7 separate regions of the Mus musculus genome follow, and all the other regions are reported to be linked to region 6. Evidence: microRNA targets listed by miRTarBase, many of them from high-throughput screens and not tested one by one. Region 6 holds a microRNA gene; each other region holds the end of a gene's coding sequence.

The links. Region 6 holds the annotated microRNA mmu-miR-669m-5p (UGUGUGCAUGUGCAUGUGUGUAU, at 2,055-2,077, opposite strand). A microRNA usually pairs through its seed, bases 2 to 8, with sites in the 3' UTR of a target mRNA and lowers its output. Matches are read on the target gene's strand: a 7mer-m8 pairs with bases 2 to 8, a 7mer-A1 pairs with bases 2 to 7 and ends in A, and an 8mer does both.
Region 1: the mRNA of Rab11fip1 is a reported target of mmu-miR-669m-5p. Seed matches in the 3' UTR shown: 7mer-m8 at 1,987-1,993 and 7mer-m8 at 1,903-1,909.
Region 2: miRTarBase lists Fndc3a as a target of mmu-miR-669m-5p. Seed matches in the 3' UTR shown: 7mer-A1 at 1,558-1,564 and 8mer at 1,567-1,574.
Region 3: miRTarBase lists Trim65 as a target of mmu-miR-669m-5p. Seed matches in the 3' UTR shown: 7mer-A1 at 3,149-3,155 and 7mer-A1 at 3,115-3,121.
Region 4: miRTarBase lists Kcnj16 as a target of mmu-miR-669m-5p. Seed matches in the 3' UTR shown: 8mer at 1,646-1,653 and 7mer-A1 at 1,598-1,604.
Region 5: miRTarBase lists Pgm5 as a target of mmu-miR-669m-5p. Seed matches in the 3' UTR shown: 8mer at 3,173-3,180.
Region 7: the mRNA of B4galt6 is a reported target of mmu-miR-669m-5p. Seed matches in the 3' UTR shown: 7mer-A1 at 622-628 and 7mer-A1 at 473-479.

The regions. Positions count from the first base shown.
Region 1 is chr8:27,139,424-27,143,492 of GRCm38, forward strand. It overlaps Rab11fip1 (RAB11 family interacting protein 1 (class I)), which reads right to left. Exons shown (of 6, transcript NM_001080813.2): 6 at 1-3,971. The coding sequence ends at 3,753. It overlaps 4933416M07Rik (RIKEN cDNA 4933416M07 gene), which reads left to right and starts at 3,487. Exons shown (of 4, transcript NR_045840.1): 1 at 3,487-3,938; 2 at 4,056-4,069.
Region 2 is chr14:72,536,758-72,540,826 of GRCm38, reverse strand. It overlaps Fndc3a (fibronectin type III domain containing 3A), which reads left to right. Exons shown (of 26, transcript NM_207636.2): 26 at 346-2,874. The coding sequence ends at 660. Among named protein-coding and RNA genes, the nearest start is that of Gm30500, 47 kb to the right of the region's middle.
Region 3 is chr11:116,122,484-116,126,552 of GRCm38, forward strand. Trim65 (tripartite motif-containing 65) reads right to left here. Exons shown (of 6, transcript NM_178802.4): 6 at 2,225-4,069. The coding sequence ends at 3,583. Among named protein-coding and RNA genes, the nearest start is that of Trim65, 6.6 kb to the right of the region's middle.
Region 4 is chr11:111,025,103-111,029,171 of GRCm38, reverse strand. Kcnj16 (potassium inwardly-rectifying channel, subfamily J, member 16) reads right to left here. Exons shown (of 2, transcript NM_001252209.2): 2 at 1,204-4,069. The coding sequence ends at 3,399. Among named protein-coding and RNA genes, the nearest start is that of Kcnj16, 30 kb to the right of the region's middle.
Region 5 is chr19:24,681,031-24,685,099 of GRCm38, reverse strand. It overlaps Pgm5 (phosphoglucomutase 5), which reads left to right. Exons shown (of 11, transcript NM_175013.2): 11 at 526-4,069. The coding sequence ends at 615. Among named protein-coding and RNA genes, the nearest start is that of Tmem252, 9.1 kb to the right of the region's middle.
Region 6 is chr2:10,515,090-10,519,158 of GRCm38, reverse strand. Mir297a-4 (microRNA 297a-4) reads right to left here and starts at 2,092; the gene lies at 1,995-2,092. The region is part of intron 10 of Sfmbt2 (Scm-like with four mbt domains 2); the gene reads right to left. It overlaps Mir297a-3 (microRNA 297a-3), which reads right to left and starts at 3,339; the gene lies at 3,238-3,339. Mir466l (microRNA 466l) reads right to left here and starts at 3,062; the gene lies at 2,942-3,062. It also overlaps Mir669i and Mir669h.
Region 7 is chr18:20,684,806-20,688,870 of GRCm38, forward strand. B4galt6 (UDP-Gal:betaGlcNAc beta 1,4-galactosyltransferase, polypeptide 6) reads right to left here. Exons shown (of 9, transcript NM_019737.2): 9 at 1-3,663. The coding sequence ends at 3,516. Among named protein-coding and RNA genes, the nearest start is that of Gm16090, 22 kb to the left of the region's middle.

The DNA.
Region 1 (4,069 bases), not on the chromosome of region 6:
ACTCAGGACCTTCGGAACATCAGACAGTGCTCTTAACTGCTAAGCCATCTCTCCAGCCCCAGTCAGAGCTCTTAACCACTGAGCCATCTCTCCAGCCCGGGTTCATGCTTCTTATCTAAGACAATAGATTTTCAGTCTTGAAGGATCCTCAATTAGTACCCACCCCCACCCTCAGAAAAAAAAATTAAAAGCTGTGAATGATAGCACACTCTGATATTCCCAGCACTCAGAAGGCAGAGGCAGGAGGATAATGAGTTCAAGGTCATTAATAGCCATAAAATCAAGATTAACCTGGCTCACATGAGAAACTGTCTCAAAAAACAAAGACAGAAACACAACTCGGGGGAGGGTCCAGCTAAGAGTGTAACTCAGCAACAGAGCATGGAATTAGCAAGCACAAGACACCCAAAGGGGGCGGTGTGGTTGACTGGGAGAAGAACCTAGGGATGGAGAACTCTAGCCTCGATACAGTGCACGGTGAAGCGTCATGGACCAGCCTCTCTTGCTGGACAGCAGTGGAGCATGGCACAGGGCAGGGTTGCTTGCTCCTTCTTTCTGTGGCCCAAGTAAAGGTAATATGGTGGAATAAAACAGGGAAGCCAGGCCAAGTGCCGAAGCCAAAGATAAGATGATATGAAACGATTAGGCCAAGGGCTGGCTGGTTTTTAGGATGCTGTCCTAAAATGGAGTATGCTGGTATTTAATCCAACGCCTTCATACCCCACCCAAATCTCTGGCTGGGCTTTCTTGGAGGTAGCCAGGCATGGGCAAGGAAAGGGCTCTTTCTTTCTTCTTTCTTCCCTTCCTTCTCTTCTTTCTCCAGAGTGTAGGCCCCTCCAGGGCACCTCAAGTTGGCATCAGTGGAAGCTACAAGCACAAGGCAGAGGTCAGCCTCAGTAGCTCCAGGGCTCTCCCTGTCACCAGCCTCTGCCAGTGGCTCAATGCAGGTTCGGCTTCCCTTGGTTGGTATCACTCCTTAGTGCCCGACCAAATAGTCAGGAACAGTTATTATAAGTAGGCAGGGCCTCTATTACCTTGTGAGGTACAGCAACGTCAGAAAGGCAGTGTTTCCCAGCACTGCAGAAACCAGCAAAGCCCCCGAAGTAAACTGTCCTTCATTCTCCAGAGTCCCCAAGTGGCATTTCAGAGCACAGGAATTCACTTCACCTAGACGGTCCTCGCTAGAGCTGACTCGGTTACATACCAAAGGTCTGAGTAGCAGTAGAGACCTCCAGACTCTTCATACACAAGGCAGCTCCCCAGGCTGCCTCTTCTGAGCAGTGCTCCAGTGCACTTAGGTTATCACAGTAAAAATGCACTTATATCAAGTTAAAAACAAAAAAAACAAAACAAAAAATCAAACCAAAACCCCAGGATGCAGAACAGAAATATACATGTACATTTTCAGAGATCAAGTGGATACAGTTTCTTTATAGGCATATTAATGAATTTCATGACACTAAAAAAAAAAAAAAATACAAATCATCTCAAGAAATTTACAGTGGTCCCTAGTACTGTAAGAGAGATTAAATAAAAATACGTGTGGATCATCAACAGCTTGTTAGGTAAATCAAGTTACAGTCTTGCCCTTCAGATTAAAGTGCTGCAGTATAACCAGCGTTCCTCACCTTCCGGGTGATAAGAACACACAGATTCTTCATTGAGAACCACCGCTACCCCACCCTATCCACGGCAACCCTATCCACGGCATTGGCCTATGACTCGCTGAGCAGAGGTGTTAAGATTTAGTGAGATTTTTTATTACTACCAGGAAGAAAAAAAAAAATCATGAAACATTTTAATTCCAGAATGAGGTGACCAGCAATGGAATTCCCTCTACTAGTGAAAAAGCGGCCGTGTGTGTGTGTGTGTGTGTGTGTGTGTGTGTGTGTGTATATTAAGGTGTGCATCTATATGTGTATGTATATATACATATGTGTGTGTTTTAAGATGTGTGTATATATGTATATATATATATATATTAAGGTGTGCATATATGTGTATATATATATATGTGTGTGTGTGTACATTTTATAAAAAAAAAAATACATTGATCTACCAGGAATGGTGGCACATACCTGTAATTCCAGTATTTGGAAATTTGAAAAACTGAGGCGGGGGTGGGGGTGGGGGTGTGTGTATGTGTGAAAAGCTTAAAGCCAGTGAGATCTGTCTCAAAATAGCAGCAACAAAACTCCCCAAATCAGGAGGTAGCAGCAAAGAAGCAGATGCCATCCTGTAGCTCTTCACAACTGTTCCTTACCGCTGACGTGTGGCTGGGGCGCTCTACCCCTGAGCACTTACCCAGCCCCTGCCTGAGCCTCCTTCATCTTGAGAAATCAGTGGACTGTCTACTCCCTTCCAGGAAACGCCATTGAGACAAGCCGATGGCAGGAAACGGCCAAAGGTCCGGTCCTAAAATCATCCTCCACCTCACAGAGATGCTGTAGAGGAACTCAGTCCCCTCCCCACCTAGGAAAGGCCAGCGGGGCAACAGGAACCCCGAACCCTGAGGAGAGACCGACTCTCTGTTTCCTTTTAAATTTAATGTTATGTGTATTGATATTTTGTCTGCATGGATGTCCGGGTGACACGGTCAGATTCCCTTGAACAGAAATTACAGACAGTTGTGAGCTACCATGTGGTTGCTGGGAATTGAACCCAAGTCCTCTGGACCTGGTCCACTGTTCAGCCAGTGAGTGCTCTTAACCACTAGACTATCACTCCAGCCTGAAAAGTGACTCTTTAGTTCTTTCATGTCTCCAGGAAATGGCCCTATAGATCTAAAGAGCAGTGTGTGTGTGTGTGTGTGACCACATGAAGGGCAGAGGTCTATGGTAGCTTTTCATTTTATTGTTTAAGACTGTCCCTCACTGAACCTGGAGTTTCCAGTGAGCCCCTGAGATCTGCCTGGCTCTGCCCTCCCCCAGCCCAGCCCCCACCCAGGCACATGCCACTCTTCCTGGCTTTAGCATAGATGCTAAGAATCCAAACGGAGACCATCAGGTTTGTAGTGCAAGCACCTTACCCACTGAGCTATATCCCCCAATCCATGGAGAACATATTTTTAAGGCCAGAGGGTACTGCCAATTGTAAAAGGCATATTCAAAAATCTAAGAAGCATGCTCAGAGGTTTTATGTAAACAACCGTGCTCCGACCAGAAGGCATCAAACACGGCTGTAATCCTAGCACTTGGCAGTGGGGGGCAGAAAGGTCAGAAATCTAAGGCCAATCTCAGTACACAGTGAGTTCAAGAGCAGCCCCAGCCCGGGGCTACATAACACCCCACCCTGAAAACAGAACAACGCCTCCCAAACCAACCCTCACCAAAACAACCCTTGAGTCCTCGGGTTTACCCGAATTAAAAATTGAGCTTGTGCCTCAACCGAGGTGCTCAAAGGCCAAGAGAGCGGGTGAAACAGCACACATCCCAAAGTCCCTTTCTCATCTCACCCTGAGCCTGCCTTCACGGAGGATCCATACCGGAAGATCTCAGCATCAAAGGGCAACAACCCTGGCGTTAAAACACATCGGATCAAATCTGATATTTACAATGTAGTCAAAGGCACAGTGGCATTGAAAAACAAAACGCTGGGAGATGTATAGTAAAAGATTCGTTGTAATCATTAATCTGGTTTTCAGCTAGGAGAATTAACTCTTGAGAGATGATGCACACAGCAGGCCTTCGGAACCGGTGTGCTAGTTACTAGGGAGACCACGCCTCCTTCAGACCACGCCTCCTTCCCGCAGTTTACATCTTTCCGGCCTTCTTGCCCATCTGCGCCGGCACTCGGAGGATGTTGGGGGTCTCCTCCATGACTCTGACTAGCAGGTTGTCGATGTAGTCCTCCAGCTCCCGCACCTGAAACTCCTTCTTGCTGATGGTCTCCTTCTGTTTGAGGACTAGCTGGATCAGCTCATCGTGGGTCAGCTGCGCGTAGGCAAAGGCGGGATCCGAGGGCTGGTATTTCTTTGGAGAGGGAAGGAAGAGGGAAGGGGTTAAGAGTCAGCAGAGACAGGAACTCGCAGAGATCAACCTGCCCCTGCTTCCCAGGTGTTAAAACACGC
Region 2 (4,069 bases), not on the chromosome of region 6:
TGCAAGCTGGGAAACTGAGTTTGAGCTCCAGCATCCACATAAAAGCCATGTGCCCACAATGTCAGTGCGTGGGAGGTGGACAGGGGAGTCCTCAGGCGAGCTACAGGTTCATGAGAGGCTTCCCAGAAAATACTAATAAATAAGGTAGAGAGTGCGTGAAGACGGTAAGACAGCCAGCATTGCTCTCTGGCCTGCGTGGGCAAGTGCCCACATTCCGCACATACACAAGATGAGATGAGTGATTTTCAGACATGTTCACATCTGAAATAATTCCAGAATGTACCTGTGCTAATAGTTTTTGTCCAGACTTTGTACTCCATTCTTTTTCTAATATTTCCTCAACAGATTTACAAGGGCCCTGATACTTCATTCCGGTATTCCAGCCTTCAGCTGAATTGTGAGTATCGATTTCGAGTGTGTGCCATTCGCCAATGCCAAGACCCTACAGGGCATCAGGACCTGGTAGGTCCCTACAGCACCACAGTGTTCTTCATCTCCCAGAGGACAGAACCGCCGGCCAGCAGCAACAAAGACAGTGTGGACAGTGCCCGGACCCGGCGTACTCTAAGTGACGAGCAGTGTGCTGCAGTCATCCTGGTGGTGTTTGCTTTTTTCTCCATTCTGATTGCCTTTATCATTCAGTACTTTGTAATCAAGTGAAAATATAACTTTATTTTTAACACTGTATTACATTTTATTTTGTCATGTACTAAAATTATTTCTGTATTGCTTTTACAAAATGGTGGCATTTAGCACTGGCATTGAGACTATCTATTGAAACATGGCTTTGGCATTTCAGTGCTTCTGTTGTTAGGCAAAGGCTGGCCCTCCATGGGAGTCCAGCACAGAAACATCAATCTGGGGAGGCTGGGTATTTTGGTTTGGGGTTGGAACTTTTTTCCCTGCTTCTTTTTTTTCTCTCTCTCTCCCCTACACACCTCCCTGAAACCCCAGATATGCCTTCTAGTGAAACAAGCTTTTTAAAGGACACTGCTATGATCGTGTTGACCAGTCAGCATAAGTAAAACAGTGGCAACCACGTCTGTGGGTTTCGCAGATGACTGCCATGTGAAAGAACAGTTCAGAATGACTAGAATTTACACTAACGTTCTCTACGAAACTTGTTCAAGTCTGATGCTGTGAAAGCAATCTAGTGCTATACTTCTACCTCCTCATTTGTCTTAATTGTTTGGTAAGTGGGATTTTGATGAATAACTGGAGGGCTTAGCAAACAAAAACTGGATGAAGGAATCTGAGTGAAAAAGAAGCTGTTTGTTGAGTGTGGAGTTCTTCCTTACACACACACACACTTACACACACATACATCCACACACATACACAAATGCATACACACGAACTCACAAGTGAGACCAAGAAAGCACAGACCCAGAAATACGGATCATTACCTGAACAGTACCTCTTTTTGGGATTTGAGAACAGAAGACTTTTAAATAATAACTAAATATGAAGCCCGTTTAGCTTCTGTTTTCTGGGCCTTGAAACTCGTGTGTGTGTGTGTGTGTGTGTGTGTGTGTATGTGTGTGTGTGTGTGTACACGCACACATGTGCACACACATTCACATTGGGTCTGTGTGCAGACTGTCAGGTAAGGAGATGTGTCCACACTCATCACCTGGTCTAGGCTAGCTTTGAAGGACTCCCAGTGGTTCTGCAGCATCTCCTGTAACTACTGCTGTTGCCGTCAGAATTTCTAATCAAACTCAACCTTTTTGTTTGGGGTACCAAATCTGAAGACAAAATTAATTTGCACCAGTAAACTTCAAGCTGCTTTCTTTCTTGAGAAACTAATGTTTAATGTATAATGTCTGTTTGGATACTGTTCCAAATTGTTGATTGCATGTGGGTACCGTTGCATTAGAGCACTTTGCAAATTGCATAGTTCATTGTTTGTGAGCTTGCATTTGTGAGTTATTGGATGATCAGATTGAATTTTGTCATATCACATTGTACATCTCGCCTCGATGTCAATGACTGCCAGTAATAATACAGTCTGCAATGAATTTATATGAAATTTTTGTTTTATCACATGTTATCTGTAGACATCTGTAACTAGCTTCTTTAATTTATTATTTGGATTTTAGAGTAGCGAGTCACTAATTTTTAGTTGCTGAGGTCTGCATTTTAGTGATTACTAAGCACTTCTGTCTGTCAAAAAGAAATGTATGTTTTGTACTTTGAAGATCTCTGAAGAATTTCCCTTATAATAGAATGGGCATGTATTGTAATTGTTTTATGTCAATGATCTGCGCTATAGAAAAAACATTAACCTTTATTCAAAAAAGAAACGGATAAACTTGGCCTCTCCAAGTGTAAGAAAACCCTGTCACTCTAATATACTGTTTGTTTACATTTTATTTAATCTCTTATGAATAGGGTGATAACTTGTCCCCCAAACAACTGCGATTACGATTGTTTTCTAGAACTTCTTAAAAGTGCCACATTTGGCAGTACAAATGAGTCTGAGTGTAAGAGCCCAGAGATTTCTATATAGTTGAATGTCTAAAATGGTAAAATGTGCCACACAGTGGCTTATGTTTTTCATAGTAATTCAAATGAACTCCTATTTTTGATAGTAAATGTCATTTAATAGTGTACTTGCCATTTGAGCCTCACTGCAATGTTAGTGCAGAGGAGAAAACAATTTTTAATGTAATCTTGATTTTACCTCATATACTGTACATTCCAAAAACTCAACTTTTTAAAGATTATAGATACACTACCAAACATACCACCTTAAAATTGTATAAGGTTGAACTTCATACAAGTGAAAAAGTATAATCTCATAAGAATACATAAACTATGTAGCAAAAGTATCTGTAAAATCCATGGAAAATAAAAGTTGTATCATTCTTTTTTGAGATATGTTTTTTGTATTTATAAACAGTTCATCACTTGCTACCTATATAAGAAAATGAAATATCTCCTGTCCAAGGGGCTTAAACATTTTCCCAGTGATATTTGAACTTCAGCCTGAGGGGACACATACTCAATATGCAATTCAATCTAGTAGACTCAAAAATGAAATTAGAAGCTTCCCCCCAGCACATGGGAGGCAGAGGCAACTGTGTCTCCATGAGTTCCAAGCCAGCAAGGGCTATATAGTGAGACCCTGTCTGAATAAGAAAAAAAGAGTTTAGAAGCTTTACCTAATGAATTGATCTTGCCCAATTCATTGTCTTGCTTTAAATAAAGAAAAGGATGATTCTGGTATCAACTTCCCATTGGAAAGAAAAAGGGAAATTCTAGTTGCCTTTACTTGAGAGACGCTTAAGGAGGATCACTTCAGTCTGGGAGTAAGTGCCACATTGGACAGCATTGTAAGACTGAATTCTAAGTACCTTTGCCCCTGAGGAATAAAATCCATGACCATCCTTGAATTCCTCATCTGCCCAGAGCTTTCCACGCCACTGAAAAGTTCAACTTTTCTTCATTTTCCACTAACACTCAGCTCCCACAGGACTCCTGGGGTTTGTTGCTTTTATTGCCATTTGTGTGTGTGTGTGTGTGTGTGTGTGTGTGTGTGTGTGTGTGTGTGTGTGTGTGTGTGTGTGTGTGTGTGTGTGGTACTGCAGAAGTCTTTTGGATCAAAACCATCATACCTCTCAGAGGGCATCAAAGGCCCATACAGCGCTGCACCTGTCTCCTCTCGTTTTTATGAACATTGGATGCAGACGTTTTACGCATCAGCCTGAGCATCCCAGGGCTTGTTACTAACTCATGCAAGCTGCCCCCACCCCCTGCAAGGTGAAAGCACAGAAGCCCTGGCCCCTCCACTCACCTGGTGTCAAGTGGAGTGGGACCAGGGATGGTGCCTTCCCATTTTCCTTTGCCACCTGCAATTGCTGGACCTGGGGTCACGAGAACAGGAGAACTAGCCCTGATCTCTCACTGGCTGCAACACTCAGAGCTGACCCTGTACCTTGCCTGGGTAACACAGTGGACCTTGCCTTGACTGTGAAGGCATGAGAGAGCTGGGCCAGCCTCTTAAGGCTGCAGCACTTGGGAGAGCAAGCCCACACCTTTACTGGGCAGCACAGTGGAGCTGACC
Region 3 (4,069 bases), not on the chromosome of region 6:
AATTGAACCAGGGTCCTCTGGAAGAGCAGTCAGTGCTCTTTACCACGGAGCCATCTCTCCAGCTCCAAATGAGATTTATTAAAGAACTTAATGACCATTGCAAATTCTTAGGACACTAGAGGACAATGAAGGCAGTACTCATCTAAAGAAGGCAGTGAGCTCTCGGAAGTCACTCAGGTCTATGGTGCATATCTTGTTCATATAGAAAGAGCTGGTTGTGGTAATTGTTCACCTGTAACCCCGAGGGGGTTGGGGGCAGCAAGTGTTCCGGGTGAGGTAGTACACATCTTTAATCACAGTATTTGGGAGCAGAGGAGAAGTGTCTCTGTGAGTTCAAGGCTAGCCTGGTGTACAAATCAAGTTCCAGATCAATCAGGGCCATGCAGTGAGATCCTGTCTCAACCCTGCCACTCCACAAAGGTAACAATTTGTAGGTATGTAGCCCAGTGGTGGAGCCATACCTATGACACCTGATAGCTATGATGCCTAAGACTCAGGCTGTCATATTTATTGGATATGGGTCTAATAGGATATAAGCTAGGGTCTCACTGTGCTGTCCAGGCTAGTCTGGAATTAATGGATTCAGGCAATCTCCTGCTCTAGCCTTCTCAGTAGCTGAGTGTACGAGCACACAAATACAGAATGGTGGTAATCGCTTTTGTTTTGGGTTTTTGAAACAGGTCTCTCTATGTGGCCCTGGCTGGCCAGAAACTAGCTGTGTAAACTAGATTGGCCTCAAAGTCATAGAGAGCTGCCTACCTCTGTGTTGGGGTTGGTCTTGTGCACTGTGTATTCCAATGCTAAGTTCTGTGCCCCAAGATCAGGTTGCAGTCAGACATGGGCATTGTATTGAACAATGTGCTGTACAGAATGTTCCCCAATAATCCCTGATTGGATAATTAAAGGCTAAATAGAGCCTATGGCTGGGCAGGAGAGAGAAGAAGGTGGGACTTGAGATGGGGGGGGGGGGGTGTGTGTGTCTCTGCTAGGGACCAGGAGAAGGAAAAAGGTAGCGGGAGGAGGCAGTCGCTATGAGGCAGGATGGATCTCAAGGACCGACCATGAACATGTGGCCAGGAGAAAATTGCCCTGAGGACACACATGAGCAGAGCAAATAGAGCAAGTTTCTTCTCTTTGTGTAGCCCCAGGTGTCCTGGAACTCCCTCTGTAGACAAGGCTGGCCTTGAATTCACAGAGCTCTGACTGCCTCTGCCTACTGAGTGCTAGGATCAAAGGTGTGCACCACTGCTACCTGGCTTAGACATTGTTTTCTAATATCTGCCTTCTTTCAGAATTGTTTTGACATTACAGGCACAAATAACAACACTTCGTAGCGCTGCAAGGATGTGCTCATACCTGCCTCTAATTCCACCCTCTCTGTAGGAGAGGCAAATGGAAACCCGATGGGTTACACATCTTGCCTCAGCAGGCCCTGCAGAGGAGGTGGGGCAAGTGCAGCATTAATAACCCTAAACCTCTTAGGAGTGTGGCTGCCCTCCTATGTAGCCCTGGCTGGCTTCAGAAACAACAGCAGCCTACACAAACCTGGCAGGTGGGGTGGCTCACAGGTGGGGTGGCTCACAGGTGGGGTGGCTCACAGGTGGGGTGGCACACAGGTGGGGTGGCTCACAGGTGGGGTGGCTCACAGGTGGGATGGCTCACAGGTGGGGTGGCTCACAGGTGGGGTGGCTCACAGGTGGGGTGACTCACAGGTGGGATGGCTCACAGGTGGGGTTGCTCACAGGTGGGATGGCTCACAGGTGGGATGGCTCATGGGCTATGCCTATAATTCCAACCCTTGGGAGGCTAAGCAGGAGGATTGCCACCTGATTGAGGTCAGCATGGGGACACTGCAAGTTCCAGACCAGCCTGGGCTATAGATTAGGAGCCAGTCTCAACCCCTCACCCAACAAAAAAAGTCAGGCTTATGATTCCAGGAGGAAGAGGCAGGAGGAGGCTGCCTAGACTGCAGTGAGGTTGAAGCCAAATAAGCTTTATAGGGAGCTCCACCCAGCTAGGTTATAGAGCAAGACTGTCTGAGGGCTAAAGAGATAGGACCGGGTTTGGTCCCCACCACCCTCTTCTAGCCTCCTCAGGCATTGCACACACACACCTACACAGAGAGAGAGAGAGAGAGAGAGAGAGAGAGAGAGAGAGAGAGAGAATACATGTGGGTAAAATACACATATACATTAAAAAATTTAAAGAAAGAGATGCTTAATCATTCATATAAAATATTTATATCTTCCCTAGGGAATATATTATTGCACATATAATTCTTTAAAAACTCTTAGAGGCCACTGATGGGGGTTCAGATTTTTATGAGTTGGACAGCCTGGTCTACATAGTTCTGAGCCAACCAGGGGTTCATAGAGATATCGTGTTTCAAACAACAAAAACCTGTTATTGTCGGGATGATGGGATAACTGCAGCTATCCCAATGTGCTTGCTGTCAAGCGTGACAGTCTGGGTTCCACTCCAGAACCCACATGGTAGAAGGAGAGATCGGACTCCTGCAAGTTGTCCTCTGACCTCCACACGTAAGCCATGGCGTACACAAGCCACCCCACTCTGAGTCCCACACTAAATAAACATGAAAGAATTTCTAATTTTTTTGTGAGATGTTTACCCACGAGCATACAAAACAAATGCTTAAGGAATTACAAAAAGAAAAGGACATTACAAAAGTGGGCTTCCTTGTAACTACCACCAACATCAGAACATGGGGGGGGGGGGAGGTGGGGGGCTCTCAAGTAAATAAATCACCCCAGGCTGGAGATGTTGTCAGTGAGAGATCAGAACTCTGAATGTTAGCATTCAAAACATTTCAGACTCTATACCCAGTACAAAAAAAAAAAAAAAAAAAAAATTCTACTTCCAGAAATGTGAGCAAAAAACCACCCAGAACCTTCATGGAAGCATATGTGGGACAAGCAAAGGAAAGCGGTTCACATCTGCCACACCACATCTGCTGCACCCATACTCATCACCACATTGGCTGTCTACAGCCTGTGCGCTTAGTCCCCACTTGGTGGAACTGTTTGAGAGGGATTAGGAGGTGTGGCCTTGTTGGGGGAGTGTGTCACTTTAAATATACAAAAGCCTATGCTAGTCTGTGTGCGTGAGTGTGTGTGTGTGTGTGTGTGTGTGTGTGCGTGCGCACTCGTGCCCATGCGCCTGGTGATCAGGATGTGAAGCTCCTGACTACTGCTCTAGCACCACGCCTGTCTGCTTCCCTCCATGATAATCATGGGCTAAAACTGTTAGCAAGCCCTGAGTTAAACGCTTTCTTCTATAGAGTTGCCTTAGTCATGGTGTCTCTTCACAGCAACAGAACAGTGACTAAGATAGATGTCCACGCAATGCTAAGAACCTGGTTCTTGCTTGGGGCTGGGACTTCCTATTTAATTTCTCTCTGTCCCCTGTCCCCTTCATAGATAGTAAAAAGTAAACTTTGTTCTAAGGCTCCTCTCCCATGTCCGTCTCTGAGTCAACAGAGAGGCCAACAGCTGTTCCTTCTAGAAGCTAGAGGTGGGGCCACTTTTGGGCACCCAGGCACGGTGGCACCTGTCTGTGCCTTCCTCAGCTGGGTGCTGTGGCCTCTTCCTGGGGCCTTGCAGGGAGCGTGGCCTCAGGCTGATGGCACAGAGTAAGGGTCCTCCCCTCAAGGAGCCAGAAGACAGGGAAGAGAGGCTGGCTGAACACTGCATAGAAAGTGTGCAGCGGCTGTGTGCGTGGCTCCAGGCTGTAGAAGGTGAGGCAGCCAGAGGTCAAGTTCAAATCTACGCCCAGGAGTTGTCCGGGCAATCCACGCAGGCGCTGAGATTTGCCATTGTGCCAGGCCTGCATACTGTCCTCCTGGATGCAGAGGCCCCAGGAGCAGGGTCCACGGCCGATGTTATCCGTGTGGGTCCCCAGCTTTTGGCGTGATAGCTTTGGGTAGGTGACGCCCAGAGTGACAGAGTGATCAGAGACACGTACCTCCCAGTAATGTTGTCCAGTCTGAAAACTCTGGGTACACTGCACCTGCCACAGCTCGAAGCTGCCCGACTTGGCTGGGCCCTGGGCC
Region 4 (4,069 bases), not on the chromosome of region 6:
CCTCCTATCCACGCCCCATCGGAGGTCTGGTGAATCCTGCTGTAAAGATCACTCAGCCACCAGTGTCTCAAAGGGATTTCCAGGTCAAAGACAATTCCTTTGTGTTAGTTTTACAATAATGATGGCATTTCCTCAACTCCCAAGAAAATATGTAATTTCCACGGGGACCAGATACAGCAAATGTCATATACAAGTGCAAACTGGATTTAAGCTGTTCATCTTTTTCTTTTCTTTTCTAGCCTGTCTGTTTTCAAAGTCATTCCCTAGAGACATGATTTGCCCTGTGATGGTTAGACAGTGTTTATTTTTACTCTTGCATAAAGCTAGATCCAGCCGAGTAGTGACTACTGATAGCCGACAGCTACTGGAGTAGAGAGAGTCTGGGGTTTGTTTGTTTGTTTGTTTGTTTTATTTTCATGTCTCTGGTGGGTGGTCCCTATTCCAGTGGTAAATGGGCCCAATGGGTTAAAAAAGACAAGAGAGCATGAAGTCTGGAGAGGGTATGTCGGAGGGATCTGGAACAGAGGAAGAAATCGATAAATGAATGTGACCGAAGCACACGTATATCGTATGCACGGATGAATTTTTTTCAGACTACACAGACATTTGCACGTGGAGGTTATGGTCCCTCTGTCCCTCCATTCTGTCTCCAGGAGATGTGTTTCACTTATGACATGGCTGCAGAGCCAACAGCCGTCAAGTTTGAAGTTCATGAGGGAAAGGGGGTGACAAGGGAGAGTGAAGAGATGCATGCCTGCTAAATCTGCCTCTATAAAAGTGAAAGTCACACCGAGAGACTTGCACTGATAACAACATGACCCAGAATGCAGCTATTTAATACCATCTGTGACCCGAGCTCCCCTCCCACCAGAGGAAAGGGAAACTGAGGGGCACTGTTGCATGGTCTCACCTGAGCACACTGCTGCCCCAATTAGGAATTTGTTTGTGAGGGGAAAAAAACAAAACAAAACAATGAAGAGGACCTTTGTTAAATACCCACCTTACCATTTCATCATGGAGACTAAGTACATTTTGCACAAAGCCAGTCTGTGCTGTTCATAGAAGTGACTGTCTCTTTAGGTGTGGCTGCTCCACACACTGGTAAGAGCCCCATAACAGTGTCTCATGAATTATAGGAGGCACCATTTTCAGTTTGGGGAAGCAGAATCGACATTTACAGGGAGCAGAGGGATGTACACAGCATTTGCACCAGTCTAAGATCTTTATTAAGTAAGCCATCAGGCGTGTCAAAGCATGTTATAAATCTGCACAGAAGATGAGAGATGCATGGGACCACACGTTTCACTCTGTGTATGAACACACAGTGCACCAGAATCTGTTTAATCAGAGACCTGTGATCCCTGACCACCGCCACCCCATTCTGATCTTGTCATAGGAGGACAGAGCAAAGGAAGCCTGGTGCACTGGATTGTACCTGCCTTGAAGGAAAACAAATTTAAACTGGTGGAGAAAGCATGGTTAGAGCGATGTTTTCCAGCCTTGGAAAGGGTAATATTCTAATTTAGACAAGTAATTCCTGCTAAAAAATTCGAATTTTCTCTGTGTGTCTGTCTCACCCACCTCACCCCACCGTGTGTGTGTGCGTGTGTGTGTGTGTGTGTGTGTGTGTGTGTGTGTGTGTGTGTGTGTGCATGCCAGATGTGTGGGTGTATAAATACATGGCTCTATGGTTTAACTAATGGATTCTCCATTCCCAAGTATTGCAGGTTAAACATGATTTAGGTTTCAGATATTAAGAAGTCCAGGACAGTTTTTAACATGCCCCATGAACAGATAGATCTCTTATTTATATGACAGCAGGAACGAAAGATTTATCTACACATGTGCATTAGAAAAGTTACACTGTATTCTGTATTGATCCTGGGTAACAAGGGAGAGGTAAAGAAAGAAAGGGAGTGGGAGAAAAAAAATAACAGAAAAAAAGAAGAAAAAGAGACCCCTTAGAATATCTATTTATTTGACTTAGCTTGGAAGTCTTGAATTGTGTGATTCAGTTCAGTGTGCCTATGGGATTAAATTTAAGTGTGTGTGTGTGTGTGTGTGTGTGTGTGTGTGTGTGTGTGTGTGTGTGTGAGAGAGAGAGAGAGAGAGAGAGAGAGAATAAGAGGAAGAGAGAGAAAGAAGGCACCAAAAGAATCAAAATGTGTTTGTGCTTAAATTCAATACCAGCCATATAATGTCCTCCTTCCTAGCTCAGCAACAGTGGGAAAAAATTGCTCCAGTGATGCCAAGCCATGGCTAATAATTCCTCAGTTTATAAAGCTTACGGTCTCTGTGGCTGGGTTCGTGCTAAAAAGGAATCAGCAATTAACTTAATCCTTTAATGTGAAGACAGAGAATAAACATGCATCTCTTGTCCTAAAATTTAAGCAGCCCCATAATATTCAGTTTATTCCTCTTATTTACAATCAAATCAACATCATTGTTGACAAAAGTATTCAGACCTGCAACTCAGGTCACCATACATACTGTGATCCTCTGCCTTCAGGAAAGGTTCTATCTCTTTGAATTCTCCTCAACCCACACTGTAGCCTCTCAGGATCAGGAATCAAGAGCATCTAGCATCTCTTCTCCAAAGGTCTGAGGATGCACACAGCTGCTGCCCACTCCTGCATCCCACCTTGCCTCTTCACAAATGCTTGAGCACAGTGGGATTATGAGCACAGGAACCTTCTCCAGGGAGCACACAGAAAGGCCACCGCCTCCCTTCTGCTCCCCAGTGACTCGGTTGAACCAAGGTATTTAAGAGAGAAATACTAATTTACGTAATGATGTCCCTTTTCTTCTGTCACATGGTTGGTTCTGGCTTCCAGCATTCACTAATAACACTTTAGGCAAGCATCTCTGACTTGATAGCATTTTCACTTTCCTAAAGCCACACCTCTGTCTGCAAGATACTATGAGAGGCAAATGTGGTAAACTCAAACTTCACTTGGTTTTACTTTCTCATCTCAGTGTTTCTGAGCGGAGGCATATTTCACCTGCTGTGCTTAGGTGATACAATACGGTTATAAGTTCTCATTCCATAATTAATTTATTTTTATATGCAAATATTTAGCTTATCTGCTTCTCTATATTTATCTGGTTTAACAGCCTCTTTTTCCCCCACTCCTAAATATTTCACCTTCAAGAGGAGACACAGGTATATGCAATAATGAGATTAATTGTAATCAATTAAGCTTCATAATCACTTCCCTAATACAAACTCTACTGCCAAAGCCAAATTTTAATATTGTAAAATTGTGGATTTTTTAGATAATAATTCACCAAGTTTAACCTGCTCTGCTTTCTATTCCTGTCCCAAATCACAGAACTAACACTTTGTTAAAAATCATGCTTACAGCTTCTGGCCCTTAGATAAGGGTCGGAGAGGAGGGCTACATCTGGGATTCCATGGAGATCCTATTTAAAGTCAGGAGGGCTTTCTGATAGGGCATCTCCTTACATTCATCTTGTGGGGACAGGACGGTCTCCTCTGGGTTCTCACAGCTGCTCACCACGGCAACTGCGCTGAAGGACCGCCTCCTGGTGTTGGTGTCAGAATTGCAGGATCCTCGGGCAGGGGACGTTTTCTCCAAGTTGTTGAGTTGTTGGTCCTTCCAGTCCAGTTGTTTGGCACTGCAAAAGGGGGCGTAGACTTCCACGCTTCCTTCAAACTGCAAGCAGTTCACCTTGTAGTACTTTCTCTTCACTTCCAATACATCATGAAACCTGTGGCCCCAGAGAATTTCTCTGGGGATGTAGGAACTTCTGGACTGGTGGGATGTCCCAGTGGAATCACCAGTATAAATAAATGTCACCAGAATCTCGAAATTATCTTTGGCCACTGCCTTGCGGTCAAGGGCATACAGAGGGCTCTCATGGTCAATTTCATGGACAATAGTCACTGGAGTTACCAGGATTATCTGGTCATTGACGAGTTTGAGGTCTTTAAACGCCATCGTCATCCTCCCTTCACTGTCTTCTGAATAGCGCAGAAGTTGGGCTCTCACCGTGCCCTCTACCACATGGTTTGGTCGGAAGTCACCTATGCGCCACATGAGGCAAA
Region 5 (4,069 bases), not on the chromosome of region 6:
GGTCAAGGAGAGATGCTTGCTCCTTTGTTGAACTGTGTTCCAAAGCTCTCCAAGCCATCCCACCCCTCTGGGAAGACTGAAGAAGCTCAGTAGCCAGGGTTGATCCACCCGTTCTACAGTGTTAACACGGTGGCGGTGCCATCTACCCTGAATGTTCTCAGTATGGTGGGAGGACCAGCAATGAGCTTTGCCCTCATACTGAATGAGGCCAAGGGTTTGATGGGGCTATAACTTGGAAGGGATTAATGTATCAGAGGAAGAATGGAGGTTTCCAGACTTCCCGAATTCACAGTCTTGTTTAGTAGTAGGCTTACACATGACCCCACCATTAGTTAATTTCTCTGCGCTTGGGTAAAACCTCATAGAGCAGTTTTCTGTCCTGCTTCTGTGTCCGGCCCATTCCAGTCACTGCCTACAAACTGCAAAATGCACTCTGAATCCACATCTCTAAGGTAGAGATCCATCCAAAGCCTGTACGAAAGCTAGATGATTTCAAGTTGACTATCATCCTTCTTTCTTTTCCAGGCAGTGCTGAGCCCGCTCATCGCCATCGCATTGAAAATATCTCAGATTCACGAGAGGACCGGCCGGAGAGGACCCACCGTCATCACCTGAGCACAGGGCAGCAGAGCACTCCGAGAGATGCTTCACCATGCCTTCTTGCTTCCTGTTTGTGCCTCTTAGGACTTTGGAAAAACAAAAGCTATTTTGCTGTTGGGGTGGGGTGGGGTGGGGTGACAGGAGGGTGGGAGTGGGGGGAGGGTAAGTACCCCTTTTGTTTTGATTTGTCTTCCAAAAGCAGCAGGGTCTTTGGTTGGTTGTCTGCCAAAGCTTCACTATTGTTTAATACCTGGATTTCATCACACCAAAGTGCTTCCCTTTCTGAGAAAAATAGATGCCCTAGGGAACTATTAATCACAGCCCCTGTATATTTCTAGTGTCTTGTGAGAAAAGATTCTGAGAGACAGGATAGAGAGAGAGAGAAAGGGAGGAGAGAGAGAGAGACAGACAGACAGACAGACTAAGGTTTAGAACTTCTAGGAAACACCCCCCTCCCACCAGTCGTCCAATGGCCACACTTCCCAGCCTGCCAACAACTCTGCACCACCTCTCTTACTTTTCTAGGGTTTTCTATGATTCACAATGACACACCTCCAACAAGGCATATAAAAGGGTGTTTTCCTTTCTTTTATTTTGCATGTAGTCTTCATTTAGCTACCAATCTGGCTGCATCTCTCTGAATGTAGTCGCTTCCTGTGCAGGTGGGGAAGGATTTTCTAGAAAGGTTTCAAAATGAGGAGGAAGCTTGCTTGATTATGTCACAGAAGTCAATACATGAGTCTGTATAAATCCTCCCAGGAAGAATACCAGCGCATGATCTGATCTTGCTCACAGTAGGTGGATAAAGGAGAAGAGAAGGGGCTGGAGTGTTTAAAGGGACAGTTGTGGGCCCCATGAGACAGAGAGGTGGATTGTCACAACTGGCTTTCTTTGCCTGGGAGGGAAAGAGACCTGGCAGCTCCAGCAGGCACGTGGACGAGGGCAGAGTCCTCAGCCAGGCTCGGGATGTGTTTGCTTCTGTTTGTCTCCCTTGGGAACTGCAGGTTCCTTACCACACCATTTGCGGAGGTGACCTAGTGCCCTTTGACTGTTGAGCAAGGCATGATTGCTGTCGTCAAGGTCGGCGCCTTAAGGAAAGATTTCCAGCAAGGTGTTTGTTTCCGTTTTCTCTCTGTGCTTCTGTCAAAAACTTGCTAGGACATTTAGGAGTCAATAAAACAGAATTTCCTTATTTTAACCTCCATACAAGATTATGGGCCTCAGGTCCTTTGTGCCTCTTGCTGCTTTGCCATTCCATCAGTGGCCCCCTGTACTGATAAATCAGCTGCTCAGAACACTGGCACGGCTGTTGTTAGCTCTGATGACTGGGCAAACGGATTCTAAAATTAGAACAGGGGGGTAAAAATGGAATTGCTCAAAATCAGTTTTGGGAATCAACAAAAATTAAAATGGCATCTAGTCATTCACCATAACAGGGTTTACTTCGGAATAATACGATGGTAGCTTTTTAGCTGAGATTATTTAAAAAAAAAAAGGTTATAAAAAGTATGTCAGGCATGAAAATGTTTTGCCTTGTGGCTTTCATTCTCATTATCTCTGGAGTAAAGGTCCCGATAACGTCTGCCCGTTCATTCACTGTAGACATGCTGTCAGTGTGATCTGACAGAGCCATTGGCTCATCAGCTCTAGCTGGGCAAGCAGATCTCTTTTTCAAGTTCCTGAACTTAAACCATCTCTAGCTTTTAAGTTCAAGTTATTCTACTTAAACATCCTGTTTCCTTTTTAAAATGTATGCGTAGTAGCCCAATTTATAGTCACTTATTTGCTCATTCATTCATTCATTCATTCATTCGGCAAACACTGGTTGAGTAGCTACTCCAGATACATCTCTGGTTTTGTTATATCAGAAAGAAGGATCAAGTTTTTCTTGCTCTTAGGAATTTACAATTTGGAGAGAGTTGGCCGTGACAAAGACCCAAAAGTAACTGGGGAGGCATAAATGTTGCAGTATAGACGCAAGCATGAACTCTGGGGACATGCAGAGTGTAACTGACTCAGAAATCATGGGACACATGAAACAGGACACTTTTTCTAAGGAATAGGGTTTCTTGGGATCCACAAGCATTTGTATAATTTGCCAGAGATGAATGGAAGCAGCAAGACAGAACAGTCTTTATTAGCCAGGACTTACAGAAGAGGTTGACTTTAGGGGCCACAGTTGGAGTGGTGGGTGACGTTGAGACAGACACAGGCTATGACATCAAGGGCAGCTATATTAACAAACAGTAGGCTATGACATCAGTGTCTCCCTCAGTGACTCTAGGACCCTCTCAAGTTCACATTGCTGAGGAATCATTTCTGCCTTAACCCAAGATTGTATGTGTGTATTCTTGCATTATTCTCGTGTGAGATGGAAACCAGAAACACAGTCTTCCCTATATGATGCTCTATTTGTCAAAGATGGAAAGCCAACAGCCAGCCTTTAAGAACAAATGATTGGAGGGTCATTGAGATGGCTGGAGGGTGGCTGAAGGCATTACTGCAGAGGCCTTACAAGGGGCTTGAGTTCTTGAACGAGTTGTCCTCTGACCTTCACATGTGTCCTGGCCTGTGCACACACACACACACACACACACACACACACACACACACACACAAACAATCTTTTTTTTAAAAAAATAAGAATAAGCAGCATGTGACATGAAAGAGTTTTGTGGGAGCCAGCACAGTGAATCACAGAAGAGGTGCTGTGGTTAAAATGAAGTAACTATTAGGGCTACTAAGGGCTACTCTGGTGGTCTTCTAGCACCAAGGGGTTCCCTTACTGCAACATATATAGGAGATTTGGAAATGTGTAAGTGTATAATGATGCCAGGGAGGCATTTATAGGGAGAACTTGGTGGGGTATTAAATACTGTACCTGCCAGGTGTCAGCCATCCACCCCCAAAACAAGACGTTGCTTTGTTTCATCCAGGACTCTAGAACTTCTTCTTCATCCTTTAAAAGGGGGAGGGGTGAGTATGAAGATGCCTCAGCTAGTAAATTGTCTCAAAAAGTATTGACCTCTGGCTTCCATATGTGTGTGTGCACATGCATTCACACATAAGAGTAGCCATTTTTAAAGAGAGAACACTTATCAAGTCTTACTGTTTCACATTGCAGAATGCGTCCATTATATTTACAGGTCATGAATGCCTTCACATAAGAAGCTTTAGATTCATGGCCATCCTTGATAGAGGTCATGGATGACCCTGAGGTCATGGCCACACTTAATCCTGGCAAGAATGATGGTATCATGGCATTGTTTGGCCACCCACTGGTCAATATCAGGCTTGAGATTTGTTAGTGGTCGGATCCACGAGCTATGGCTGATGTAGAGGATGAGCCACGTTTGTGGATAAGGACAGTAAGATGACTCCATGCCCATGGCTAGTAAATCAGTGTTTGGACCATCAGCCAACGGCAAGAGATTATCTGAGGCAGCAGAGCTTAACAGAATGTCCGTTC
Region 6 (4,069 bases):
ATTAGGCTGGGACACATTTCGTACAACAATTAAAGCACTTCTCTGTGTAAAAGCAAGCACAGCATTCTAGTTTGAATTATGTTAGGAGACAAAGATATCACCAAAAATAGACTCTAATATCATATAAATATCAAGTGTTGACAGGGAAAAACAACACTTTAAAAAAATTCTTAAAGAATTATTAAATAAGCAAAAGGATTCTTAGTTTTTAACGACCAGAAATGTTTTCAATATTAAGAGCAACCCAGCTTTACCTCTTAACCCCATTCAATTAAAAGTGACCTTTTTCATAGAGAATGAAAGAGAAGACAGCTATTAATGAGGGAGGTATTCCAGTCTCCCGAGCCAGATGAACGATAAATTTTAAATTAAGATATATTGCAATCTGAAAACTCAAAGAAAATCATCAGGTGTACGAAAAACCAAAAGAATCACACCATAGCCTGCCTGTGTGCTGAGTTCCAGAGATCCAACTCAGGCTGTCAGGTTTCCACAGAAGCCATTTTCACCTGGAGGGAGAACTAGCCCTGGATCCGTTCTGCATAAGCTCTAAAGCTCTGAGTCACATCTCATTCAAATAGATCGATCAGAGCCACTAATGTGCGTGTAGGTGAATGCCAGTGTGTGTGTTTATGTATATGTATGTGAACATTCATATACATACATTTACATGCACACATAAGTATGAACCCATGCACATACATGGGGGAGGGCATCACATGAATCGCATGCTGATCTCTAACTCATCATGAAGTGAAACATGAATTTGAACTCCAGGACCTCCTGACGCTGGCAAGAGTATTCACCTCCTAACTGAGACATAGCTCTGGCCCAGTACTGCATAAGCTCTAAAGCTCTGAGTCACATACCATTCAAAAGGATAAACGAGTGTCATTCCTGTGTGTGAGTGTGTGTGTGTGTGCATGTGTGTATATGCATATTCATATAGAGAAATGAATATGCACTCAACTATACACCCATGCATATTTTTGGTGGGCATCACATGAATGCCAGGATGATCACAAACTTATCAGGAAGTTAAGCATGAATTTAAATTCCTGATCCTTCTAACTCTGGCAAGTGGTTTTCACCTGGTGAGTTAGATGTAACACTGACCCATAATTATACACTCTATAAAACTCTAAGCACATATAAATCAAACAGATCTATGACTGCCATTCTTATGTGTATATGTATGTGTGTGTGTATGTTCATATACATGCATGTACAAGCACACTTACCTACACATATATACACATACACAAGGACAATCAAATGAATTCCAGGCTGATCTCTAACTCATCATGAAGTTAAACATGAATTTGAACTCCGTATCCTCCTGACTCTGGAAAGAGTATCCACCTCCTAACTGAGGCATAGCTCTGGCCCAGTACTGCATAAGCTCTAAAGCTCTGAGTCACATATCATTCAAAAGGATATATGACTGTCATTCCTGTATGTGAGTTTGTATGCATGTGTGTATATGCATAGTCATATAGAGAAATGAATATGCACACAACTATACACACATGCACATTATTGGTGGGCATCACATGAATGCCAGGATGATCTCTAACTCATCAGGAAGTTAAACATAAATTAGACCTCCTGATCCTCCTGACTCTGGCAAGAATACTCACCTCCTAACTGAGACATAGCTCTGGTCCGTTACTGGATAAACTCTAAAGCTCTAAGTCACATACCATTCAAAAGGATATATGAGTGCCATTCCTGTGTGTGCTTGCGTGTATATGCATATTCATATAGAGAAATGAATATGCACACAACTATACACCCATGCACATTTTTGGTGGGCATCACACGAATCGCATCTGATCTCTAACTCATTATGAAGTTAAGCATGAATTCGAATTCCTGATCCTCCTGACTCTGGAAGGATTATTCACCCGGTGAGTGAGATCACGCACTGGCCCAGTCATACAGAACCTCTAAGACTAAGTCACATATCATTCAAATGGATCCATGAGTGGCGATTTTGCGTGTATTTGTGTGCATGCTTGTATGGGTATGTGTGTATGTATATGTATACTCATATACACACATGCACATGCACACATACATATACACACAGGCACATACACTGGGGGGGGGGGGCGCCATCACATGAATCTGAAGCTGATCCCTACCTAATCATGAATTTGAGAATGAATTTCCACTCCTGATCCTCCTGACTCTGGCAAGCATTTTCACCTTGTGAGTGAGAGCACCCACTGATCCAGCCCTGCATAATCTCTCAAACTCTAAGTCACATACCTTTAAGGCCTGACTCTGGCAAGCACTTTGACCTGTTGAGTAAGAGCATGCACGGGCACAGTACTGCATAATCTTTAAAACTCTTAGTCACATATTATGCAAGTAGATGAATGCAAGTCACCATGTGTTTGTGTGTGTGTTGCATGTGTGTGTGTGTCTGCACATGCATATCCATATACATTCATGAACATGCACACACATGTAAGCACACGTGCACATACATGGGTGGCATCAAATGAATACCAGGATGATCTCTAAATGGAGTTTGAACTCCTGATCCTCCTGACTTTGTCAATCATTTACACCTGGTGATTGAGACCATTCACTGTCCCTCTACTGCATAATCTCTAAAACTCTAAGTCATATATCATTCAAATGGATCGATGAGTACCATTCCTATGTTTGTGTGTTTCTGTGCTTGCATTTATACATGTGTGGATGTTATATATATTCATATACACACATGCACACACAACTATACACACGTTCACATGCATGGGGGGAATCACATAAATCACAGGCTGATCTCTAAGTCCTCATGAGTGTAAGCATGCATTTAAGCTCCTGATAGACCTGACTCTGGCAGTTGTCTACACCTGATGAGTGAGAACACTCACTGTCCCCGTACTGCATAATCTCTCACCTCTAAGTCACATGTTATTCAAATGGATCTAAGAGTGCCATTAATGTGTGCGTGTGCATGCATGAATATGTGTGCATGTATTTATATGTATATCAATATATATATACATGTACATGTACACACAAACACACATGCACATACATAGGGGTCATCACATGAATGCCAGGTTGATCTCTACCTCATCATGCAGTGAACATGAATTTGCACTCCTGATCATCCTGGCTCTGGCAAGGGGCGTCACCTGGTGAGTGAGACCTCTCTGTGGCCCAGTCATACAGAATCTCTAAGACTCACATATCATTGAAATGGATCGATGAGTGTCAATTTTCTGTGTGTTTGTGTGCATGTTTGTATGGGTATGTGTGTATGTATATGTATATTCATATACACACATGCACATGCACACATACATATACACACAGGCACATACACTGGGGGCATCACTAGAATCCGAAGCTGATCCTGGACTCATGAATTTGAGAATGAATTTCCACTCCTGATCCTCCTGACTCTGGCAAGCATTTTCACCTTGTGAGTGAGAGCACCCACTGATCCAGCCCTGCATAATCTCTAAAACTTTAAGTCACATGTCATTTAAAAGTATCAATGAGTGCCATTCGGGGTATGTGTGTGTGTGTGTGTGTGTGTGTGTGTATGTGTGTGTGTGTGTGTGTGTGTGTGTGTGTGTGCCTGTGTGTATGTGTTTGTGTGTATTTATATGTATATTCATATGCACACATACATTAGCACACAAAACTATGCAACATGAACATACACTGGGAAGGAACCCATAAAGCCAGGCTGATCTCTAAGCCATTTTGAAGTTATTCATAAATTTGAACTCCTAATCCTTCTGAATATGGGAAGCTTTTTCACATTGTGAGTAAAAAGTTTCATTAGCCCAATACTACATAATCTTTAAAGCTCTATGTCACACATCATTCAAATGTATCAATGAATGCCATTCCATGTTTGTGTGCTTGCATTTACATGTATGTTTATGGTATGTATATTTATATACACACATGTGCATACACAGGGACGTAAACACACATGCACATACACGGGTGGCATCACATGAATACCAGGATGATGTCCAGCTGAAGTTAAGCATGAATTTGAACTCCCGACCCTGCTCAATCTGTAATATGT
Region 7 (4,065 bases), not on the chromosome of region 6:
ATCTGCAAACCCAAGGCAAGAAATCTAGAGTGTTATTTATCTGAAAGGTACATAAAGAAACAGGACAGATACAATGACACAAATCTGCTTCCCCCAGGGATCTCCAAAGGGACAATATTGTATTGATAATGCTTCCATTTCCTTTTACAAGGGTTATCAGTATCAATTGGAATAGGAGTTTTTGGTGTGTTTTTTAAACAGGGTTTCTCTGTGTAGCCCCAACTGTCTTGGAATTCATTCTGTAGACCAGGCTGGCCTTGAACTCAGAGAACCTGCCTCTGCATCTGGAGAGCTGGGATAGGAATTTTAGTTTTCTTTTTTTTTCTTTTTTTTTTTTTTTTTTTTTTTTTTGGTTTTTGAGACAGGGTTTCTCTGTGTAGCCTTGGCTGTCCTGGAACTAACTCTGTAGACCAGGCTGGCCTCGAACTCAGAGATCCGCCTGCCTCTGCCTCCCGAGTGCTGGGATTAAAGGTGTGTGCCACCACGACTAACCGATAGGAATTTTTAATAGATAATTTTGTACTTAAATTTCATGAATATTTTCTTAGTGAACACCTTTCTATAAGACACAAACAGAAATTTAACTTTTACTTTTTAATTTGCTGTGTGTGTGTGTACATGTGTGTGCTTACACATATGGAAGTCTGAGAATACTGTGTAAGGGGAGGTCTCTACTTCTACAGTGTGGGTCCCAGGGATCAAATGCAGGTTGTCAGGCTTGGTGCAGGCACCTTTACACCCTGAGCCATCTCAAGGGCCTACAACTGAAAATAAATATAAAAAGGGGGCTGTGGAAGCCACCTCATTAAAACCCTAGTTTTGGCAAATAATTAAATGACAACTTTATTGAAAATCAGATAGAATGTGGGAAATCAATGAATGTAGGAACTTTCTCCCCATCAGCCACGATTTCTTTAGTTCAAAGGCACCATATCATTTCCCCAATGTCACAAGGACCTCCCAGCAGCTGGGACCACACTAGATTTGAGACTAAGACATCTAACAGATAAGTTCCCAGAGGGTGTTCTTTCTAATTTCAGATAAGTTTCAACTTTCTTGATTTAAGTTGTTTAGGAAAAAACAAAACAAAAAAACAAAACCTGCCTTTAAATACCACAGTTAGCCAGTCAGCGGATGGGAGACAGACACCCAGTGCAAAGCCACCAAATAGATTTGATTCTATCAGACTGCCTGCTTGTGCTAATATGTAAGAAAGAGATTTATTGTCACGTGGTCATGGTAACTAGGCAAAACTGTCATCCATGGAAACATACCCAGGTCACTATTCATTACTGAAAAGAATTCCAGGTCTGAATTAGAAAAGGTGGTTCTCACAAGCTGACATTCCAGATGCAACACGAAGATATAGCAAAATTACTTACATCCAATTCCGGAAGCCATATTAATACTAGACTTAACCTAAGAAAGTAAGGCAGATGACCAGTTCTGAATTTTCCTAAAACTGTGAACTAAGTATCAATGCAAAAGGCACCCCACTGTGGACAGCCCGCCACATTATGAAGTGTGTGTCCTCCAATAAAATTCCACATGGCACAGCTTCCCACAGCACTGTAAGGAGGGGCCAAAGAGCCCTGTCTCACCCGCCTTAACATTAACATTACATTCTGCTGTCATTCGGTCAAATTAAACACTTCATTAGCCACAGGAGACAGAACATAAACTGAGAACATACAAAAATCTTCATCTCCAGAAGTTGAGATTTTTTTTTCACTCTTTTTTGAGTAGCTAAAAAGGTTGGGAGGTAAATATTTTAGAAGCAATTCTAAGAATAAACACGGAGAGATTGCTGTCACAACAGGGCATCTGTCTTCTCCGGTGCAAGAATTTTAGTTATCACTGTAGGGTTTGACTTGTGGTCATCAGCATTACCAAAACTATGACAGACAATGACAACTGAAAGCTAAGCTCTCAACATTAGACAAGGGGAGCAAACTTTCTCACATCCAGAATTCTCACTCTTAGGGTTTACTTGACAGACGATGTTGTTCTAAATTTGTTTAAAGATGGGAGATAAGATCTTACATGTGAATATAGGCTATTTTTCAAGAATTTTTATAATCAATCATTTTCAAAGTAAGAACACTATTTGGGCTTTGTTGTTGTCTGGTCATTGAAAACCTCACCCGTGTGTGGAGGGTGAGCAGAAGTCACAATATCCACACAGTCAATTAATGACTGTAAGGTAAGTCTATAGGCCCTCGGCTCACTGCCCAGCACCATGGTGGTGGTGGTGGGGTGGTGGTGGTGGTGGTAGGCATTAAATTATACTTGTAGTGAAAAAAAAATTGGATAACACCAGAGATTTCTTAAAAGTGAAAAAAGCAGTAGGAGTGACGAGCTAATGTGAAAGGGAACCATGTATGTCTGAGAATTAAAGTTGAAGTTTGTTTTAATCTAAGCATTTATCTTCATAAAAATAGAGCATCTAATCTCTCATCTAATAGTATAATTCATCTGTATAAGCACTACTGGATTTTCCATAAAGTCATTCTTTCAAAAAAAAAAAGTTTTTAAAAGAAGATACCCTCTTTTGGTTCTTCTAAGGTGGGAATAATAATGTTTTCATTATGAGATTGAAAAAAATATATATACCGTGTATAAACACAACCGTGTATAAACACAACCTTGGGAACGTTTTTTTGAGGCACAAGATCCCTGACACGCGGAGGTACATAGAGACATTTAACATGAAGAAGTCCTGTACAGCACGTCACTTTACAACTGGGAAGGTTTTCTTGGTAATACTCATGCAGTATGCATAAACAATATGGCTGTTGACTTGGCAAGATCTGATGAGACTGCAAGCAAGGGAAAAAATAGACAAAACAAAACAGGTAATCGTGGCAGGAAGAAAAGTTATGCGAGTCCTTCCTTCCTTCGAAGCCCTCAGAGGACCGTGCCTCCTGCCATGAGGCTGAAGGTCTAAAGCTGAACACCAATAGTACAGAACGGTTACTATATTATCTTTGTCTGTCGCTGACAGTCCCTTCATTTGACACAAGGCTTAACCTTTGTTTGGCGACATAAATTTACATTTTTCCCCATGCAAATAAAAAAATGTCTATAAAAGTCCAATGAAGGCATAACCAATTACATGCAAAATTGTGACATCTTGTTTTCCAACAATTTGAACACATTTAATTTACATCACATATGTACAAAATATGTTTGAACGGAAATAAAAGCATTCTCTTGAATTAAATTATAGATTTCAGTATAAAAATCTTCTCTGTGTAGGGAGTTTTCTTCACTTCCAGTCCCAAGCAATGGGTTCTTATCTCTACAGTGCTTGCCATGGGGGGACGCTCCCAGCAGGGGGAGAGTGGGAGAGTGTGACGGATGGAGCCCGCGCTGTAAACATTAAGGATTGCTGGCTCTTTTTACAGACCGGGACACTGAGATACACCCCAATCTCTAACTTCCACGGTGAGGGCACTCCAAGCCAAGTTCATGATCCAGCACTGTGGTCTACCCCACCATGAGAATGACTTCTTTTAATAGTCTTCAATTGGAGCTAATTCTGGCATGAGGTTTACAGATATATTTGTATACAGCCTATCAACCAGTATTTTGGGTGTGTATAATAAATTGTTCAGTCCATCGATGTACTGCCGCTCCTTGGAATACCGAAGTAATTTATACCTAAGGGAAAACAGTGGGAAATGTGTTCAAAAGAGGAAAATATATTCTGAGGCATTCTTATAATAAAGGCATGCTTTAAACTCTCTAAGCCATTATTTTAAATTAGACTAGTCAAAAACAGGTTACCTTAAAGAGAGAGAATTTTATACTGTCACAAGTTAGATTATATTTTAAGAAGGGAAACATTCTAAAAATAAGAAGTTAACTAGTTATGAACATAGGCATGATTGTGTACATCTGTCTCTTCCTCTATATACACACACATACACACATGCCACACAGACACAAAGATACACAGACCACCCCCCACATACACACACAGACACACACCCTATAACTGTAACCCAAAAACATTTGCCAGAGACCTTTGATTATGAAAGAAAATTCCTTCCTTTAAAACAA